Oryzias latipes: one gene and its partner. The protein of the gene in region 2 interacts with the protein of the main gene of each other region in a pairwise test. Links are inferred from orthologs where the notes say so. Each region holds a gene or a part of one and is shown on either strand. Other genes may lie near its edges. The genes, in order: tuft1 and zyx.

Region 1 (9,379 bases), about 1.9 Mb from region 2:
TAGATCCTTCCAGAGGACCTGGACATGTTTTGTATTCATACTCTTCGTAGCAAAGCGTGTCTGTATTTTCTTGACACTTTTCCCGAGAATTGGTTTCTTTTTAGAAATATATCGCTTTGCTTTAGACTGAAAACATAGAAGTAATCTTAAGAAGTTCCACACCCACCTTCTCTATTTTGATGTTCTTTTGAGGGAAAAGCATCCCAACAGACAGATGCTGTTATCACCGCATTCTCCTGCAGTTAATATGCTCAGGAAGATGACATCTTTTATTAGGATAACATTCAATTATGGTTGCAATTCCTTCTCTGGACTCCATGAAATACTAGATATCACACAGACATGTACATTCCTCGTTTCTCAATAAATTCTATTTGGCTTAGGTAGACTCTGATCCAGTTGTACAAGCAGCAGAGAAATCCCTGAAGACTACAAATGCATATCAGTTTTCATAAACAAAAAAGCACTATTAAGTTTGTGTTGTGGAGATTTGTGTGTAGTAAAAGTTCAGCTGTTTACCACCAAGCCTGGGAAGAATGCTTTCTGAAATCTGTGCAGAATGAGTGTTGATGTTTTGTTTTTTTTGTCTTCAGGCTTTTGGTGAAGAGGAATTTTTAAAATACCAGGAGGCTCTTGTCGAACTGGCTTCTATGTACGTAAACAACCTTTCTTTGTACCCGTTCTTTTGCTGTTTTGGTTTTGTTTTGAATTCTCTAACAGGAAATGAATTATTGAGTTTGAGCAGTCTCCTCCTCTGCGCGTTCCTCAGTGTGAAGTCTGGCGGCAGCTCCACTGCGAGTCAGCTCCACCAGTCTGCAGCTGCAGACCTGTCCAGCCCCTCTGAGCCTCCAGGCGCCTCGGTGTCTCCGGACCAAACTGCCTACCTCACGTCTTCTTTGCAGCAGCGCAGCAAGAAGCCCAGACACTTCCTGGAGCTGAAGAACTTTAAAGACAACTACAACACGCTGGATAATATTGCATAATGCATGATCAGAGAAAATAGTGCCAGTGACGAGTGCCTGTACAGGACCATGTCACCTTTGCCTGATAGAAAACAAAAAAATGTTGCCTTCCTATCTTAACATGCACTGCCTGCTCCACTCATGTGTATCAGCTCACTCTTTCTGTGTAACTTTAATTATTTTGCATTATTGCATGTTTAAATTCTATATTGGGGTGATACAACATAAGGAGGGTTGATTTGACCAAAAAAAAAGTAAAGCTATGAGGCTATGCAATGGAATAAGACAATCAGTACCTATATCACAATATCACAATATAAAGGCATTTGCACACACGTGTTGAATATTTTGTTTAAAAGTGAACAGAGTTTTTAGCAAATATAAAAAGCTGTTTCACACATAAAAGATATTCCTGTTTATGTACATTTTTTATGATAAATTTGGGTGCTTCTGTTACAAAAGCTCTAATTATTTTCAGGAACTGGTGATTTTATTTTATTTTAATTAGTTCCATGTGTATTTGTTACTTTAGTGCAATGTAACTTTAACCGATGAGTATTTTAGTTCATGAACGTGCTCTTAGGTTTGAGGTGTGGCCTCAGGTGAGTTTATTTTATTTTATTAAGGGTATTCTATTGGTTGTGTTTGATACATGTTCATATATGACATTTAGCATTTTCTTTAATGTGTTTCTTATTAAAATTGTCATGTCAAAACATAAGCAAAAGCTTTTGCATTCACAAAAACTGCCTATAGTGTTTTTATGCACCTGATCAGTATAATAAAGAATATACTCAATATGCTTTTTGGTACTTTTCTAGTTGTAAAAGTGTTTTTGTGTTTACTCATTAGTATAGCTCATTAACCCTTGTGCTATCTTAGATGACCCCACCCTTACATTGACGTGTTCTCCCTAGCATGATAAAGGTGGAAAGATTTCATGTAATCCATGGACACCAGTGAAGATCACAAATCATTGAAGAAAAAAGGTTCAGCGCACTGGCTAGTGCAGAGGTGGGCACTGAGGGCCGCATTCCTGCATGTTTTCCAGCATACCCTGCTCTGGCACGTTCTAATTGGCTGGACACACCTGAACCAGGTAATCAGCCATGAGTAGGGCAAGACTATCTGGAAATCATGCAGACACACCGGCCCTCGAGGCCTGGAATTGCCCACCCCTGGTCTAGTGGGTCTAGATGACCCAACTCCCAATGTTAAAGGATATAAGGATAGCAGAAAGGTTAAAATATAATGTAATGGTTCATTGTGTGATATGATGCTGCTTATGAGTACACTTGTAGTACCAGTTAGGCCCAGGAGAGGTCCTCATTTTCAAGCTTTTAACCCCATGACAACTAAAATATTTCCCAGCTATTAAAAATTAAATCAGTATTGTTTTTGCTTTCAAGTAGATGTTGCATGGACCCTTGTGCTATCCTATGCACTTTAACGTTGGGAGTTGGGTCATTTGGGTCTAAATGAAGAAAAAAGGTTCAGAGCACTATCTAGTGGGTCTACTAGATAGTGCTCTGAACCTTTTTTCTTCAATGATTTGTGATCTTCATTGGTGTCTATGGATTACATGAAATCTTTCCACCTTTATCATGGTAGGAATAACACGTCATAGTAAGGGTGGGGTCATCTAAGATAGCACAAGGGTTAAAGCAGATGTGGTTTGATGCATATTTGCATCAATGGGGTTAAGCAAAGTCTCATAGAGCCACGTTAATTCAAAGCCTTTTATTCAGAAAAGCACAAACGCATATTACAGATTAGCCTTTTTACAAGCGTCTCTATCAAACAGTTGACAGGTTATTAAAATAAATAAATAAAACACAGGGAAGTTAAAAAATTAAAACACCGCATCACAAACAACAAAACATCTGTACAAAAGCAAAATGATGGGGAATTGAAGTCTAGAGGTGCTGAGAAGGCTAAAACACAAATGCACTATCTTTCATTTGAGTGTCTAAAGTGCCTTTTTTTTAGTTCAATCACTAATGAAACAAAATCCAAATAGTTTTTAATATAGTCAACAGCTACTTTTCAAAGCACAATATCATAGGCACAACAACTGCAGTCATGGGTGAGTAACTATTAAAACACAAAATTCAGGACCAGTTAGCATGTTTTGTTGTCATGACACCACTTCATCTTCATTACATTGATGCTACATTACTTTATGAGGCTGTGAACTTGTAAAACGATAAAGATGCAGTTTTCATACGACATCATAAATGCTAAACGGGTCACCAAACCAGAGCAAGGAAAAGGAGGTCAATTGAAAATTGAAAGTTAGTGAAGTTGCAGCTGCAGTATTGGAAGGCTCAGCTCTGATCTCCTTATAGGTCAGTCTGTTGTCAGCAGAGCTGCTGTCTAAATTCTGCAGTCAGGTGGTGTGTAAGTGCTCCTCTGTCCTTCTCCTCTTTTCTTTCCATCCTTCATGACTTGATCTCGATGACTTTGATGAAAGGGAGCGGTTTGTTGGAGGAGGTGGACAGCTTCAGTGGCTTACTGTTGGAAAAACAAAGACACTTTGAAGTATAAAATATGTCAGAAATTACCGCAAGATCTTTTTTTTTAACCAAAAATTAATTTTAGCCATTTACAAAAAACAATTAATGACATTTTTGCAAGCTGTATTTTGCAACATTTGCAGTGGAAATGTTGGAGTGAAGGCAAAACTGGCTACCTGTAAACAATCTGGGGGTTGCGCTCCGATGAATGGTAGGATTTTGGCCTTTGTCCTCCCAGAAAGTAGTCCACCTGGTCATGCATTTCTCGATTCTGAGAATTCAAGATGATTTAAAGAATTAAATTAACATTAAAAAGGCAGAATTAATTTCAGGAACAACACAATCTTTGCAAAGATCCGGCCAAACAAAGCTGCTTTTGCTGATTTTTCTTTTAAAAAGCGTCTGCTTTTTCAAAGTTCCTGAGACATTTTGAGGAAAGGAAATAGAGTGCAGTTCTCACCTCGGCTTCCAAAAACGCCACTTTCTCCTCCAAGTCTTTGATCACGCGGTCCCGCTCCTGAAGCACCATGCGCGAGTTCTGGAGCTGAAGACAGACAAACACAGAGTAAGCCTTGTGAAAATATGAGCATGGAGATGAGGTTCTAGATTCTCACACATGTGCGTCTCACCTGTTCAATCATGTGTCTGACTTTCCTCTGTTGGCTTTTCAGCATATCATCCAGATGGTGGATCTTTTCTTTGAGAATAGCGACCTCTTTCTCCAACTGTTCAGACCTAAGAAGAACACCCAGAGAGTTGCAGCACTTTGAGTTGCAGCACTATAAAGACCCACTCCAATGAAAATTGTGTTTTTGTTGGTTTTAACATGTTTTTTATTTTATTTTAGCGAAATTATATTTTTCATTATAATTAAAAGGGAACACTGGGAACACTTTTAAAATAGTTCCAAAGATAGACGGACGGTCTTTAATGTGATATTTGACGCTAACCTTTGCTCCCCTTTGTGGCCATCTTCTCTGATCCTCCGCAGCTCCTTCAGTTCGTTCTCACGGCGTTGGAATTCCTCCCTGAGGGTGGCGCTCTCCTGCTCCATTCCTCCCAGAAGCCTCTGGAGCTCTTCGATGCGCAAGTCCTTCTGATCGCCTGCTTCCTCTGCACTCCTCAACTTCTTCTCCTGCTCACTGAGACGTTTTTTAAGCTGGTAGCCCTCAGCCTGGAACAGACGCAGTTCAGTTTCAATGTGGCCTTTGGTTTGGTTTAACTGTAAAATGATGAGTGGAATGCAGAATACAACCCATGCCTCACCTGGAGTTTCTCTTTCTCCTCCAGATGTTTTTTCTCTGCATCCTGCAGCTGAGCATATAAGCGCTTGCTGACCTCTCTCAGGTTGTCTCTCTCCGCTTCGTCGTCTACATCCTGCAACGTTCGGAAGGAATCGTCAAGACCACATAATCCAAATATTTTACTATGAGGTAATGAAAATCCATGCAACACTCGGCTCTGTGGGTTTCACTGTCATAACGAAAACAGGCGTGTTAGTGTGCGTCACTGGAAAAGTTGGCTGTTGACCAGAGACTCCCTCCTTTTTCTGCAACACCTCTGGTATGCAGGCGAGCTGCACCGTGAGTCACCACTACAACCACAAGTGTCTCACAAGTGCTGTAAGCAAGTAAGCAAACATACACAACTGTGTTGTTTTTGCTGACGTGTGTTACGAGAGGACGACAACAAAAATATTACGGGATTTGAAGAGGAAAGCCAACAAAAAAAGCAGGGAAGGAAACCCAATGTGTTGGAATAGCTCCTCTATGCATTTTTATGCATCCTGGGAGGGGCATTTCATCCTTTCATTCTATTAAAGTCTCTTTATTTTCCCACATAACCTTGTTTGAGTTTACAAGGGATTTTTTCTGCGTTTCTGTCAACTACATCACTAACCAAAAAGGCTCAGACATTTAGAAGAAACACAATCGTGTTTCAGATTCTCAGTGCTGACCTGCGTGTTGGCTCTGGCCGATTCTTTGGGGACGGACGAGGAGCTCTTTCTGAAAGGAATGCTGACCTTCCACCCGTTTGTGTGCGGCTGGAAAGAGAAAAGGAGGAAGTTAGCATGGAATGATGGAGACCAGAAAGTCTGGAAACTACAAGCAGAGAGGATGTGGCGCTAACAATGAAAAAAAGAAGAGAACAAATGAGTTTTTCTACCTTGCTTTTAGCTGCCATCTGCTCCCTCAGGGTTTTCAGGCAATACCTCACCTGCAAGAAAGAAAGGAATGCTGTCCGTTAATAACATTAAGAGGAGAGGTTTGGGTGTTTTGGATTTTGAATGTGGCCTTTTCATGATGAACTACTGAGGTGACACAGTAATAATAGCAATTAACCCTTAAAACCACACCCCGCCTTCAATTTCTCAGAGTCAGCAACAATGTGTTTATGCCGTCATTTCAGAGGTATTTATTACAGACTAAATATGTGTTAAAGTTCATTTTAATAGGTTAAACTTTCTAGGTTCAAGATCTTTTGCCAAATAAATCCCATTTTAGAACAAAATCTAATGAAAATACATTTTCAAACCATTTCCAGGTCAGACTTCAAGCTTTTCTAGCATCTTATTATAGCTAATGTTGTTTTTTATTTATGAAAAATAACTTTTAACTTTGGGCTATCATTTAAGAGGCTTGAATAGTAAAAGTTTTATTCTTTGGGGAATTTAAGTAGAAAATTGTATCAAGTTAGTTTTCATAAATAGTTCCAAGGGTTTTAATCTTGTAAAGACAAACTGAAGTTTTCAGGATCATCTTAAGGGAAGCGGAAAAATCAGATTGTAAATTAAAAAAATGGAACACATTGCAAACATGAAGAAAATATTGTATATAAAAAAACAGATAAACTAGCAAATTTGAAACAAATATATTTGAAACTTAAAAAAATATAGAAAACGTGAAAAATATTGAAGTTTTGAAAAATAAAATTGTAAATTTGAAAAAACATATTTTAAACTTCAAAGAAATATTTAATATAGGGAAAAAAACATGTACATTGGAAACTTGAATTTAAAAAGGAGAGATGACACAGGAGCCTCAAACAACAAACACTTTTTTGGGGCAGAAATGATGTCCCCATAACCTCTATCACCTGATGCCAATCATGTCCCCGTAACAAATGGGCTCGAAGCCCCACCCCCATGTAAAATTAAGATTTATTTATTTATTTCAAGTTTTACATTTTTTCTCATTTAAAATATATATTTCTCAAATTTACAATTGAATTTTTTAATATTTCCTTCAAGTTTATGATGTGTACTTTTAAGTTTAAAACCTGTTTTCAAATGTTCAAATCATTTTTTTATTTCAAATTTACCATCTGATTTTCCCTTCACTTTAAACTGATTCTCATTAGACCCCATACAACTCAATCACATAAACAAACATGTAAACATATGCATCTGCTTCAGATGATATCCAAACTGACCTCCTGTATCTGTGAGACTTCGTCTGACAGCATCTTCAGGTTCTGCTGTTGGTTCTGCTGCTCTTGTCTGCGAGCCTCCAGATACACCTGGAACAAGGAAGAACATCAGGAATGCACACCTGTTGAGCAGACAAATACAAAAAAAAAAAAAAGGAGGTTGCCATTACAGAAACAGTCACACCCACCTTTATGGTCTCCACCTGCTCCTCTGTGGACTTCACAGGCTCTGCGCTCAGAGTCGGCCGCTCACTGGCTGGCTGCACCACTGCAAAAGCTCGCCCGACTGGCTGCAGACCAGAAAGCAGGAAGTGAAAAACATTTTCCAGCGATCGTACGCAAATGTACCCCCGAGGGAAAATATTAGGGGAGTCGTTTCTGATCAGTGTTGTAACACAGCAGCCAGCAGAACATCTGTTTATGATCCTCGTAAAATCTGACTGGAATGTCTTCAGCGCTGACGCAAATGAAACGCTGGAACGTCAGAACAGGGAACATGCAGTCTTCTTACGAGCACATTTACCCTGTACTCATGTGACAGACTGAGAGCCATGATCAGCAGGAGGCCAAGAAAGATACAACCAAATCGCCATGGAAACTGACCAATAAACTTTTGGTGCTTTTTTTTTGGAAGGGTGGACAGACTTGGCAGAAGCAAATGCAGAAGGAGAAGAAGAGGGGAGGAGGGATTACGCAACGCCTCCATTCTGTGTGTCCCACTGGTCTTGGTGGAACAATGAAGGTCTTTAGAAGTTTTAAGTGTGTGGTAACCACAACAGCGAGAAGCAGATGGCAGCTCCAGCAGAGGATATCTAAGTGAGTGTGCAGGAATGCTGGGAGCTCTGTCTATGATAAACGTCATGGAACTAATTAGGATTCAGAGGGCTAAAGAAAGTTGGTCCTTTTTTTCCAACTCGGATAAACAAAAGTCAAAGGAAAAGTTCCATCCAAAACGTCAGCCTGGTTTCCCTCAGAGGACCTCTTACCTTGTCCCGGTGCTGCTCCGAGCTCCGAGCCGCCTCGCTCTGGTCGTGGAGTGTGAGCCGCAGTCGCCTGCACCCCTCCTGAAAGTCAGACGGAGATGAAGTGAGCGCTCAAAGAGGCCGTTATGTGATGGAGAGCCTGCTCAGGGACTATTTTGAGGAGGAGAAGGAAAAAGAGGAGGGCAGACTGAGTCACACTCGCCGAGGACCCGGGAGGAGAGACGGGGGGGGCGGTACCCTGCGAGAGACTCGCACTATAGGCAAAAGTTTTTTCGCTACAGCAGACAGACTCTGATTTCAACTGTTTGCTGTAGACGTCAGGGGGATTTAGGCAGAAGCCCTCCAGATGCTCACAGCCAATCGTAGCGAGAGGCTGGATTTTCTGGGAAAGTGGGCAGAAGGTCCTCTGTTGAGTAAGAGAAAATATTTCCATGGCAGCAAATCCACACAGTCGCCATAAACTGTCACGATGAAAGACAGCAGATTCAGTTTAAGGTGAAAAATCAACATTAAGCCTCACAACTAATGCTTTTCCCACCAAAAAAACAAAACAAAAAAGAAACAGTATTGGGTCAATATAAAACACTTTTATTCCATCCTAACTTTCTTAGACAGTTGACTGCAGTCATTCAAAACAGCCCCTTTAATAGTTAAAGGTTGAAAGCAGGATGCCACTGGGTGTGGGTCCTCCAGCTCACAGTAGCCCCCCAACTGTGTCAGGGGTAAGTATGCGGAAGAAAGGGGGGAGGAGGTGGGAAACATTGCATAACTCATTGCAGTTAACATAACTTGTGTTTATTTTCTCCCGAATAGATCTAGTCTCCTCCCTATGTCAGCACTGAAACTACATACAAATGTTTGTCAGACACACACACACACACACAGACACACATGCTCAGACTAATCAGTCATTTATTATAACTAGCTAGTTAAAACTTTGATAAAGAACAAACGCTGATTTTTTGTTGAGAAAGAGTCGGCTAGGAACAGTAAGGAATGCCTTTCCTTCTTTATCCGTTAATAAATAACTTCCACTTTTCTTTTTTCTGACCTGCGGCGTATCAAATCTACGCTCATTTAACACAATGCCTCAAACTTGATCATATAAGGAGCGTCATATGAGGAGACGCTTCACGCACAGCATAATACATGGCAAACATCTCATTTCTCACAGTTGTCCTGTGATAAAAGTGGGTTCCTCCAGGCTTTCCCACACTTTCATAATGACCCCTTATCTCAGTTCAGTCACAACAGCCTTATGTGGGAAGAAATGAAACTTCATCTGTTTAACTGACACTTAGCTGTTCCCTCAAACCCCTTTATCTGTCGAAGCTTTATTTACCACAACAGAAGATAGTGTTTTGTTGGAGATTTGGGCTTTAATTTGTCAGTTTTAGCTCAACTGTTGCTCCCATTTAGTTTAACTAGTTACTGTATGACCAGTTTACATCTATTTAAAATTCAAATTATGAGAACTGGTGACTCTTCT
Region 2 (9,984 bases):
CATCCATCGGAGGAGGAGGTGGAGGGGGAGGAAAATCTGATAAATAAAAAGAAACAAATTAAAATGTGTCCGTTTATTCATGCATTTCAATGTGATTACAAAAAACAACATTAAATATAAAAAATATACGAAGAACGGCGACTGAAAAGTTCCTTTTAGTTTTGTTTTTCTCTGAAATGTTAAGCTTTATTTTTTTTACGGTTTCCAAAAAAAAAAGCAAGTTGGGAAAAAATAAGGTGCCATTTTGATAGCCAAACTAACCAAAAATGGCTTATTGCATCAATTTAAAACGGTGTTAATACCATCACAGAGTGAAGATGGAGGTGGAGGCAGGTCCCCCACTCTGCCAATAACTGCTGTGCCGAGTGGCGTGGGTGATGGCGCCGAGGGAGGCGTCTGACTTTTGGGCCGCGGCGGTGCCACCGATGCAAACTTCTTTGGCTGGTTGTAGAAGGATGGAGTGGTGACTTTGAAGTTCAAAGACGAAGTCACCACTAATGGCTTGTTACTGCTGGATTCCTCCATTTTGTTTGCTTATCTAGAAAAGAAATACAAAAAAAAAAGAAAAAGAAAAATCAACATTTTGCAGCTGCGGAGCTCAAACCAATCTTTCTCCACACCCTAAATCTGAAAGTAGCCTTCATCGGCAGGCAGAAATCAAAGGCTTCCATTCCTTTGCTGTGTTTGGTTGCTGGGATTTTTTACTTGAAATGGTGGAACGGACGCATCAGCTAAGCATTTGACTCAGCAATGTTGCAAACTTAAAACAGAAAGTCTTTTACAAACAAAAAGGTATTATAAAACACAAGAAGTACATTTTTACAGCTACACATCAGTTGTTGCACTATATACATTTACAGATTCTTGACATCTCAATGACATTTTGGTTCATTTGGGCTTTTATTTTGGTGAGCTTTCAAGATTAGCCTCAATGGTTGCTACGTTTGTTATGCTAATGCTAACCTTGCAATTAAACACTTTTTAGAATAAAAAAAGGAATTAGCAGAAGTTGTAAAACATAAGCTTATGACAACACACGGTTTGGAATAAGTTCTTCACAACATAATAAAGGGACGCACAGACAGCAAAGTTAGCAAAAGAGTGAAAAAATTAGCAACCTATTGTTTTTATTGCATTTTGAAAACTTTTAATATGGAAATCTTTTCCACATTAAGTTTTCTTTTTGTTTGCTTTTAGATCACAGCCAATGAGCCTTTGAGGCTTCAATCAAAAACACAATTACTGCTGCTTTAATCTTCTGTCAGATCTGTAAAATCATACAAGCATCGCCTTTCCTGACACACACATGGAAATGAAAAGCAGGGCCTTTGTAGCTTTGAAATGGTTACACATTAAAACAGAAATCTAAATTGTAGAAGGAAGTAAATCAAGTTGGTTTAGAGAGTCATAGACTCTGGCATGTAGTTGTGATACGATACAGTGCGAGCGGCATCTGGAAACTATTAAGCAGGGTGAAGTCATCAGGAAACATGCAATTATTATTATTTCTATGTCGTGACATTTATTTAAGACCTGAGGTTCAGCACTGAGGCTGTGCGTTTGCTACTGATGCCGAGGCATCAGCTGATTTATGAAAACAGAAGAACCAGTCTGAGTCACGCAAGTGACTAAGAGTCACACAAGCCAGTCTGAAATGGGAACTATAGACACAATAGAGCCCCACACAGAACAGAACTGCTGTGACTTTCACAAAGACAAAAGCTGACATTTTATCTTGTCACAAGGCAGAATCTCATAGAAACAGGTTAGAATTCCTAAGAATTCTATTTATTTTTTTGCTATAATTCCACGACACATATTGACCGAGTTGAACTTGCAAAGAGCATCTCTGCTGTTAATGCTAGGATGACTCTTTTACACCATAAACTAAAGTCTAATTATGCAGGAATTATATACCCCCTTACCCTAGGTAAGCAAAAATTATGTTGATTAAAAGATTCAACCACATGACTAAGAAAAGGCCAAAAAAACATGCTGGATTTATTTGAGAATCAGACTAAAGTGTAAGATGTGCAACAAGTGTGTTGTTGCTGTTCTAATGAAAGTAAAAATTGAAAATTAGAGGCTGCAACTCGTGATTCCAAAAATAATAAAATCAGAGCAGACTTGCAGAAGAGACTAATGGGCATCTGCACTTCATCAATGAGAAAACAAGGCTGCCTATTGGTATTAGGACTAACAAGTGTGGATCTTTAATGAGTCTTAATTCAGATGTGCTAAACTTCACAGGGGGGAAAACCAGTAAAAGTCTTAATGTAAACACTAAAAACAAAAACAGTGTCAGTTTTTCACTTCTACCATGTCAGGATCATGTAATCCAGACACCCATCAACTGAACCAACTGAATCCCTTTTTCGGGTCATGGGGTTACTGGAGCCTATCCCAGCAACTCCAATCAACTCCAATGTTATGAAGCACGTCTTTGAACAGTGGGAGGAAGCTGGAGTGTCTGGAGAAAACCTTTGCATGCACAACATCCAAACTCCACACAGAAAGGTGATTGGAACCATGGCCTTCTCACTGCCCTGGATTGTGTCATCAATCATTAAAACCCATTTTGACTCCCTTACTACTTCACAGTGCAATACTGGGGTGAAACAGAGGAGAGGAATAAGAAATGTGCTTGGTTTTTTTGTTTTATACAGAGCTACACACTTAACAAAAATATTGTGTCGCAGGAACACAATTACTGAGGAATTTCACCTTGTCGGGACGTCGGGTTCTTGAACTTGACCTTGAAAGGCCAGATGGTGCAGCTTCAGCTGAAGCGAATATTTTTATTGTATACACAAAACGGAAAATGTAAACACAGAGTGAATGGAGAAAACTTGAGTTAACAGAGTAAATGACTTCTAATAATTAAGCAGGAGGTGGGGCTTAGCAAGGATGATGTAAACTGCTTGAAAGCAGTCTATACTGTCACCATCACTCCACTTTGTGTGACTGACACAATAGTCCTTTAAATAATGCATCAGGGTGAGTAAGTTCTGTAAGACTTCCTCTGGACCTTTAATAAAGCCCTCAGAGGTTTGGCTGGGTGAGATCAGTGATGCAGTCAGCCTCAGACATGAAGGTACGGTGAAACCTGAGACCACAGCCCCCTCGCTAAAGCCCACGTTTGGCTCAACAACCAGATGACATCACTTTTTCAGATCTCCACTCTCCCCCTCATCCATCGTTTCTGAACCCCCACAACGACAAACGATTCCCAGACATTCCGTGTATCGCTTGAGGCTCGGACGAATGTGATTTTTATCTCCATCGTCAGCCTCTCAGTCAAGTCTCAGCAACTACTTGAACTGCATGACATCATCTGAGGTCGCATTCCATTTTCCTGCTTTGCAGCTGTGAAGGGAAATCACTTCATGTACCTTTTCTTTTTAAGGGCTCCAGCTCCAATCACACGCAGTTCTTTTGGGCCCAATAATAGCGTCAGGTTTTTGCTGGACAACTTTCATACCATCTGGATACTGCAGCTTTTGACTTTCTTCATCCCACAAATGTATGTACAGATGGGAACATAAATGGCCTAAACTACACTGATGGGCCAGCGGGGTTGCTGGACTCATTAACAGATTGGGAAATCCCTGGTGGGAGAAATGGCATGACTTCTTTGAAGCTGGGCAGAAGGGTACCAAGGAGCAGCTTTTCTGGCATATCTGAACTTTTCACCAAAAGTATGAAAGGAGAAGTAAGCCAGGGTATTTTTGGCCCTCTTTTTGTTTTTGTCTTCCAGATGAAGATGATTAAAAAACAGATTTTTATCCTCCTTTAAGTAAGCAATGAGACATTATGTTGTAAAAATGTGTCATCAAATGTCTATCGCCAAAAACCCTGTTAGGAATATTGCCACATTGGCTCAGTAAGCAAGCAGATCTTAAGCAATCTTCTAGAAAGGAAGATATCAAATTACCAACCAAAACACCAAATTTCTCACAGTATTTGTGTTGTTGTTGTTGAAGCCCATCCATTGTTCTGATGGTAATAACACACCCGGTTTCAAAGAAAGCGTGTCTAGGTCAGGGGTTGCTAATGCAGGGGAGGGGGGAGGGGGGTGTCAAACAACCCTTTCGAGTGTGTTCTCACAGGTCACTGGACACATATTGTGTGCCAGTGACGTAGATCTTTTGCAACCGTAGCAACAGAAATAACACAACAGGCTGCATTTCCACATTTTTAAATCACAAGCAACCGAATTCTGAATCAGACGACACCTCAAAGCCCCTCCCTGGATCAACAGGCCCGCTCTCACGGAGTAATGTGGGCCAAAGAAAAGTCACAAGACGGCAAGAGACATAATAAAAGCATTTGACAAGAAGGGCTTTGAGCCAAATAAATGCTCTGACTAACAGAGGCTACAATTAGGGAAGATTCCTCTCATTCTTCGTGTCATGCTGTGTTTAATTTTACTCATCAAGATGTCAGAAGCACCACAAAGTAAGCACCACTAGTACCTCAGACTACAGTTGTCTCCCACTATTCTCTTCTTAAACATAGTTTATTCACTGCAGCCTTGGGGTTTAGTCTCACTTACAATTAGGAGAAATGTTGATGCTACAAATAAAAAACAAAATTAAAGCACATTACTAGAAGTTTCAAACCCCGTTAAACCTCCCTGTCTGTGGAAAAGCTGAAACTCAGATTTGCTTGAACATGACGTCAGGCAGAAGCAAAAACTCTTCAGCATGAGATGTAATCCCAGCGGATTTATGAATGTGAATAAGCAGACAAACATCCTTCTGGTCCCATGTGGTTTTTTAGAATAATAACCAACACCAATCTAAAACAGGTTTTCTCATCTATGCCCTCAGCTTGAATCAACCTTTAAAGCTCCAGCTGAGTAACTGTCCACAGGCAGAAACAAGTACAGCATCACAACCAAGCTGCCGGAGCTTCTGCTGAATCCTTTGTTTTATTTGCTCACCCTTGTAATATTTAATGCAAATTTAACAGATTATGTAATGAAATTTACAGATGAAAAAACACAGGTTTTTTAATGTTTGTGGCTACAAAGAGGGCTAGCTTAATCGAAAAAGATTCTAGCCTGCACCAGTAGGGGGCAGTAATTAAAATAAATGGGTTCAGTCTGTCTATGCAAAACCCAAAGAGGAAGTAGGAAGGATCCAAAATAAAGACTATACTCAATTCGAGTATCTTTAAATAAATACAATAATTGTAAAAATAAAATATATTGCTAACTTTTGAAATGAAGCCAGTACTTTTGACCGACTGGTGTTTAATTAAAAAGACTCAAAGTCCTAATAATTTTGTGGATATTTAAAAAAAAAAAAAATAAGTGAATGAAAAGAAATTGTTCAAAATTCATTAAATAATCTTCTGTTTTATGTTTTTTTTAGAGAACGGAAATTGTAAGATATATTTAAAGCCTTTTAAAAATATAGTTATTTGTTTCAATAAGTTGGATATTGACGAGGTGTTGAAACAGCTAGAAAAAAGTTTTTAATCATGCAAAACAAGTTAATTTCTCAAAATTGATGTAAAATCTATTTATTGTTATATTAAAGTACTTGGTACCAACAAGTACCTAAATTTAAACTGATAATTTCAACACAGGAAGAACTAGTACTACTACACCACATATTTTTATTGGACCCATTTGGCCCTCAATATGATTATGCTCTGATGGCGCCACAGACTTTAGAATGTAAGACACAGAGGCATAAACTGTTCCATCTCACTATAAAGGCTAGCTAGCACAGTCACTGTACCTAATAACTCCGGTGACCCTAAAAAAATATGCTAATTTTACCTTAAACTACACTGAGATTTATTTGTTTTGAAATCTATCTACGGGCAAAATCAACACTCACCTGAGAGCCTCGAACGAAAACGACACCTCTCATTCATCCAACAGAAGCGTTTGGCTAGGTCAGACCACTTGCACACACCCCTAGTAGTGTGCAAGGCTTTAGTCACTCGGCTTCTGCGGTGAATCGAACCAACACCCCCACACCTTGATCATTACCTCATATGGACACGTCAATGTTTAGCCGAGTGGCATCCATCTACGCTAATATTTCCTCTGTATATGATCGGCCATTAAAAAAAAACACCCAGCTAGCTTAGCTTACAGAAGTTTTCTGCTGGACTTCCTGTCGGAGCTTCCGCATAGCAGTCATCTGCAGCCCGCATTGTCACTCATTTAAGATCGGGGGATATTTGTGCCAATAAATAATAACATATTATTAAAAAAAAAGGTTTATACTACTGCAACAGAGTGATGTCCTTCTATTTAAGAGTATTTCTAAACGAATCGACAACATTCCACAAACCTGCTCCTTCATGACAGAGCAAAGGCTTTACCTTATTAGGTAAGCTCATTTCTATGAGGAATGTCATCAGCTTCAGCTCTCCTCATGTGCTGAGTCACAAAAACACACAAAAGCTTGCTTACCCTGGTAAACTGCTGCAGATTAGTTCCCTCTTTTCCTTTTGTTCTCCTTCCCCCCCTCCTCTGGGTTTAATCTGAGTGAGAGTTCTCTGTAGTACCAACTTCTCCTTTTCTCTTCCCCTATAAGACCCTCCCCTTGTGCCTTTAAGTCTGGAAAAGGAATGACTCCATCCTTCCAAACAAGTTCTTTCTCGCTTGACTTTGGCCCAAGACTTGAGTATTACGACACATCACCCTCCTTCTCTTTTTCTGTATCCTAAACTGTCCAGGCAGACCCCTCCTCCTCTTTTCTCCTCCTCCTGCGATCTCCTCTCTCTGGATTTTTGTGGCATTCTTCATTGGGTGACATCAACCCTGTTGCCTCTCCATGTAAGGTCAGACAGGGGGGAATGAGGGAGCCAGAGGGAGGGAGAGATAATGAAGCCAGAGGCCCGATCAGATGCAGAAAAGTGGTCAGGAGTTTAAACAAAAAGAGGTGCAGTGGTTAAAGCGCCGTGAGCCGTGGAAAGAACTTAGACGTTTACTCATTTCAAGAGGTTTAGAGATTAAAATATTGCTCAGGATCAGCCCCAACCCTTATTTGCTTTTCACTGGGAGAGTTCTCCATGTGAGATAGTCGACTGTTTTTCTGAAAGTAGGTCGATTCTATGCAGAGGTCAGGTTTTATTGTACTGTTATGATAAGTTGAAGGTTGTTAAGACAGTTTCTTAGACAAAACCAAACGTCAGAAAGTAGATAGAGACTGAGTCGATTTACGATGTATGTCAAACAAATTTCATCAGTGAATGCACGCAGGTCTGCATTGCGAGAAAAAAACGATATTTGGACCTCTGACATTGTTATTCTTCCACACAAGTGAAGGAAACAGCTGTGGAAATATATGCAATGACCTTAACCTAGCTGGAAAGAATCTTTCTATTCATATTTTGTCTTTGAAGACTGGACTCAAACAAGACCCACTCAAATGAAAATCGTGTTGTTGGTGTTTTTAACATGTTCTTGTTGCACTTTTTCTGATGATGGAGGACATATCTAACAAAAAATTAAGATTAAAGTTGGATTTCGGAATATTTCTTTATTCAAGTCATTGTAAATCAGGAGCAGACAAAAAAAGAAAACTGTAGCAGTGACATATGTGCTACAGTGGGGCCACAAGCTCCCTGCTGCACTCCATTCTGATGCATCCACTTGTAGACGACTAGATCCAAGTACGTCTTTGTTTTTTCTCGTCTGAGCTGGTATCTGGTTCAAACTGTACAGCTGGACAGCTCCAATTTGGCTCAATATTATTGCTGCAAGACTAATGTTAGCTTGGGCCAATTAGGGGCTGTAAGTTAGCGGGAGAGAGTGTAAACAAAGGGATGATGGGAAATGCAGGCAGGCAAATTTCTGATTAACTATGTCCTGGAAAATGACACCGGTTATTTGATTTTGCCTTAAAACGGCATAACCATAATGAAAAGACCACTGGGAACTCATTTACAATAGATGATTGGAGCCGAACATTGAGGACACGTTTTAAATGACGATAATGTAATTTGTGTATAAATCCCTTCTGGAATTTCAATCAAACTAAAAAGAGTTGATTTCTTTGGCCAAGCAATGCTTAAATGCCACTCAGGGTGTGTAACCATGGGCTTGCCCTGTTGAGGTCTGACACAGACAGCCCTCTGCAACAGCTGTTGTGTAACCTGTTGCTGCCCAGGTCACGTCTGTGAACTACGGGGAGTGCTTATCAGGGTTTTTGATAGTTCATTGTCTCACAAAGGAATGTTTCCACTCTCTCCCCATTTCCAGGGAGACAAAAATGCGCTCAGTTTCCACTCCAAGCAGCAGCTTTGGGGAGCCAGAGGGATAAGGCAGGATATCCATATTGAGGCTGCAATCGCTCATGCCAGTACCACATAATCTGAAGAAAAGCCTTTTCTTCTGCCATTTCTCCCAATTCACCAGGCTTGACAGCCAAGGGACGGACATGTGCATGAACTGTGCAGGGGTGTGCTTATCTAACATCAAAACACTGTTGTGCCATTGGTAAATGAAGCTGGGAAAAGGGTTGTGTGGAGTTTATTTAAGGTAAGAAAAAGAAAAAAACAGGTGTCTTTTAGAATTAGGCAGAATGCCTGGAATGCGGCCAGAACTTGGACTCAATAGCGCCCACCTCTCTTCCCTCAGCGTCTGCTGATGTGCCAAATTTTTTCTCTGCCTCTATCCGTAAAGCTGCATTTTTTCAGCACCTCATTTTTTTCTCTGTCTCCTCCTTACGCTGCACTTTTTATTTCCAGTCCTATCTCTATTCCACTACTTGGCCAACACCTCCTGCATATAAATCAGGCCCTGCTCATAACACCTCAATCTTAATTGTTAATTCCCTAATCATTTTAGTTCCAAACAGCGAGAGTCCATCCAGTTTCCCCCTTTTCTCTGTGGATGAATGTAATCATTTTCTTAATAAAAAAAAATTCAGATTTCTTTCATGCCGTACAGATTTTTTAGTCACGTCTAAACTTCAAACTCAAAATGTAAGGGGACCCATTAAAACTAATAATATTAAGTTTTCCCAATTCAGCAAAAATAGCAAATGAACACATAACAAACAAACAATGCCAGTATAAGGAATACTGGCCTTCAGTATCCAAGAAGTATCAACAAAAAACCGCAAAATAACATTACAAAGGCTTATTTACACAGCTTTTGCTCAGGACTGCATTGATGAATATCAAACCTAAGTAGCCTTTTTTGTCATATTGTCAAAATTAAAAAAAATGTAACTAATTTTGAGTAATACAGTTTTTATTCAAAATAGACATTTTTAAACTATAAATGTTTTTATAATTTTTCTTCTAGACTTGACATGTAAAAAAAAGAAATACTGCATTGCATAAAATAGTGGAAATTAATATTACATTGCAAGCCTTAACATTAAGCAGATGTGTTTATTTTAGCATCAATCTAATAATTCAGTTATATATTACCGGTACATATGCAGAAACGGTCAGCTTCCTTGTACACATGCACACTGATGAGAAATAATCAAATGTTAACAAATAAAATGTTGAGGCTCACTGAAGGTTAACAGAAAGCAGAAGAATGGTAAAGTTGAGAAAAAGGGATCTAAAACTAAAGCACAGTGATAGCAGGCAGGTCCAAAAGTTTAATCAGAAATTAAAATTTAGACTACGCTGAGCAAAGAAAGTAAATTTAGTCTCAAACAATCCAGCAGTAAAACGCTCCTGAAAGTTTTGATGATGTATGTTCTTTCTGTGGAAGTAATTAGACTGAAATACATTTTAAAAATGTAAAAGTGTTACAGAATTAGTATTTTCATGTATTAAACACAAAAAAAAATCTCTATGCATTTAGGTGCAAATCAAAGATTAGCATGGGAGGGAGGACTTTGCTCCCAGAGCTTAAGGCTGCAATGAGCCGGTCTCACCAGTTAGTGTCAGGCTGACACACATCACAGTGCTGCACTGGGCGACTGGGAGAGCTGGAGATTCCCTCACCTTCTCCACCAGCCGGCAAATCAGCATTCGGCTTGGGACACTTTG

What was found.
Region 1: the proteins of zyx (region 2) and tuft1 interact in binary tests that used the Homo sapiens proteins (3 or more experiments, as listed by UniProt). The link is inferred for Oryzias latipes from reciprocal best matches to the Homo sapiens genes ZYX and TUFT1.

What each region holds. Positions count from the first base shown.
Region 1 is NC_019874.2:18,229,886-18,239,264, forward strand, and holds the end of tuft1 (tuftelin), read right to left. Parts: intron 7,972-9,379; coding exon 7,894-7,971; intron 7,198-7,893; coding exon 7,096-7,197; intron 6,998-7,095; coding exon 6,911-6,997; intron 5,696-6,910; coding exon 5,645-5,695; intron 5,523-5,644; coding exon 5,436-5,522; intron 4,856-5,435; coding exon 4,745-4,855; intron 4,653-4,744; coding exon 4,429-4,652; intron 4,214-4,428; coding exon 4,108-4,213; intron 4,023-4,107; coding exon 3,939-4,022; intron 3,750-3,938; coding exon 3,655-3,749; intron 3,477-3,654; coding exon 3,404-3,476; 3' UTR 2,688-3,403; downstream 1-2,687. Other genes in the region: uncharacterized protein C1orf43 homolog, read left to right, coding at 594-652, 770-983. UniProt on the Homo sapiens protein: Involved in the structural organization of the epidermis. Involved in the mineralization and structural organization of enamel.
Region 2 is NC_019874.2:20,179,749-20,189,732, reverse strand, and holds the start of zyx (zyxin), read right to left. Parts: upstream 6,672-9,984; 5' UTR 6,437-6,671; intron 6,138-6,436; exon of another isoform or gene 5,853-6,137; intron 539-5,852; 5' UTR 526-538; coding exon 303-525; intron 37-302; coding exon 1-36. UniProt on the Homo sapiens protein: Adhesion plaque protein. Binds alpha-actinin and the CRP protein. Important for targeting TES and ENA/VASP family members to focal adhesions and for the formation of actin-rich structures.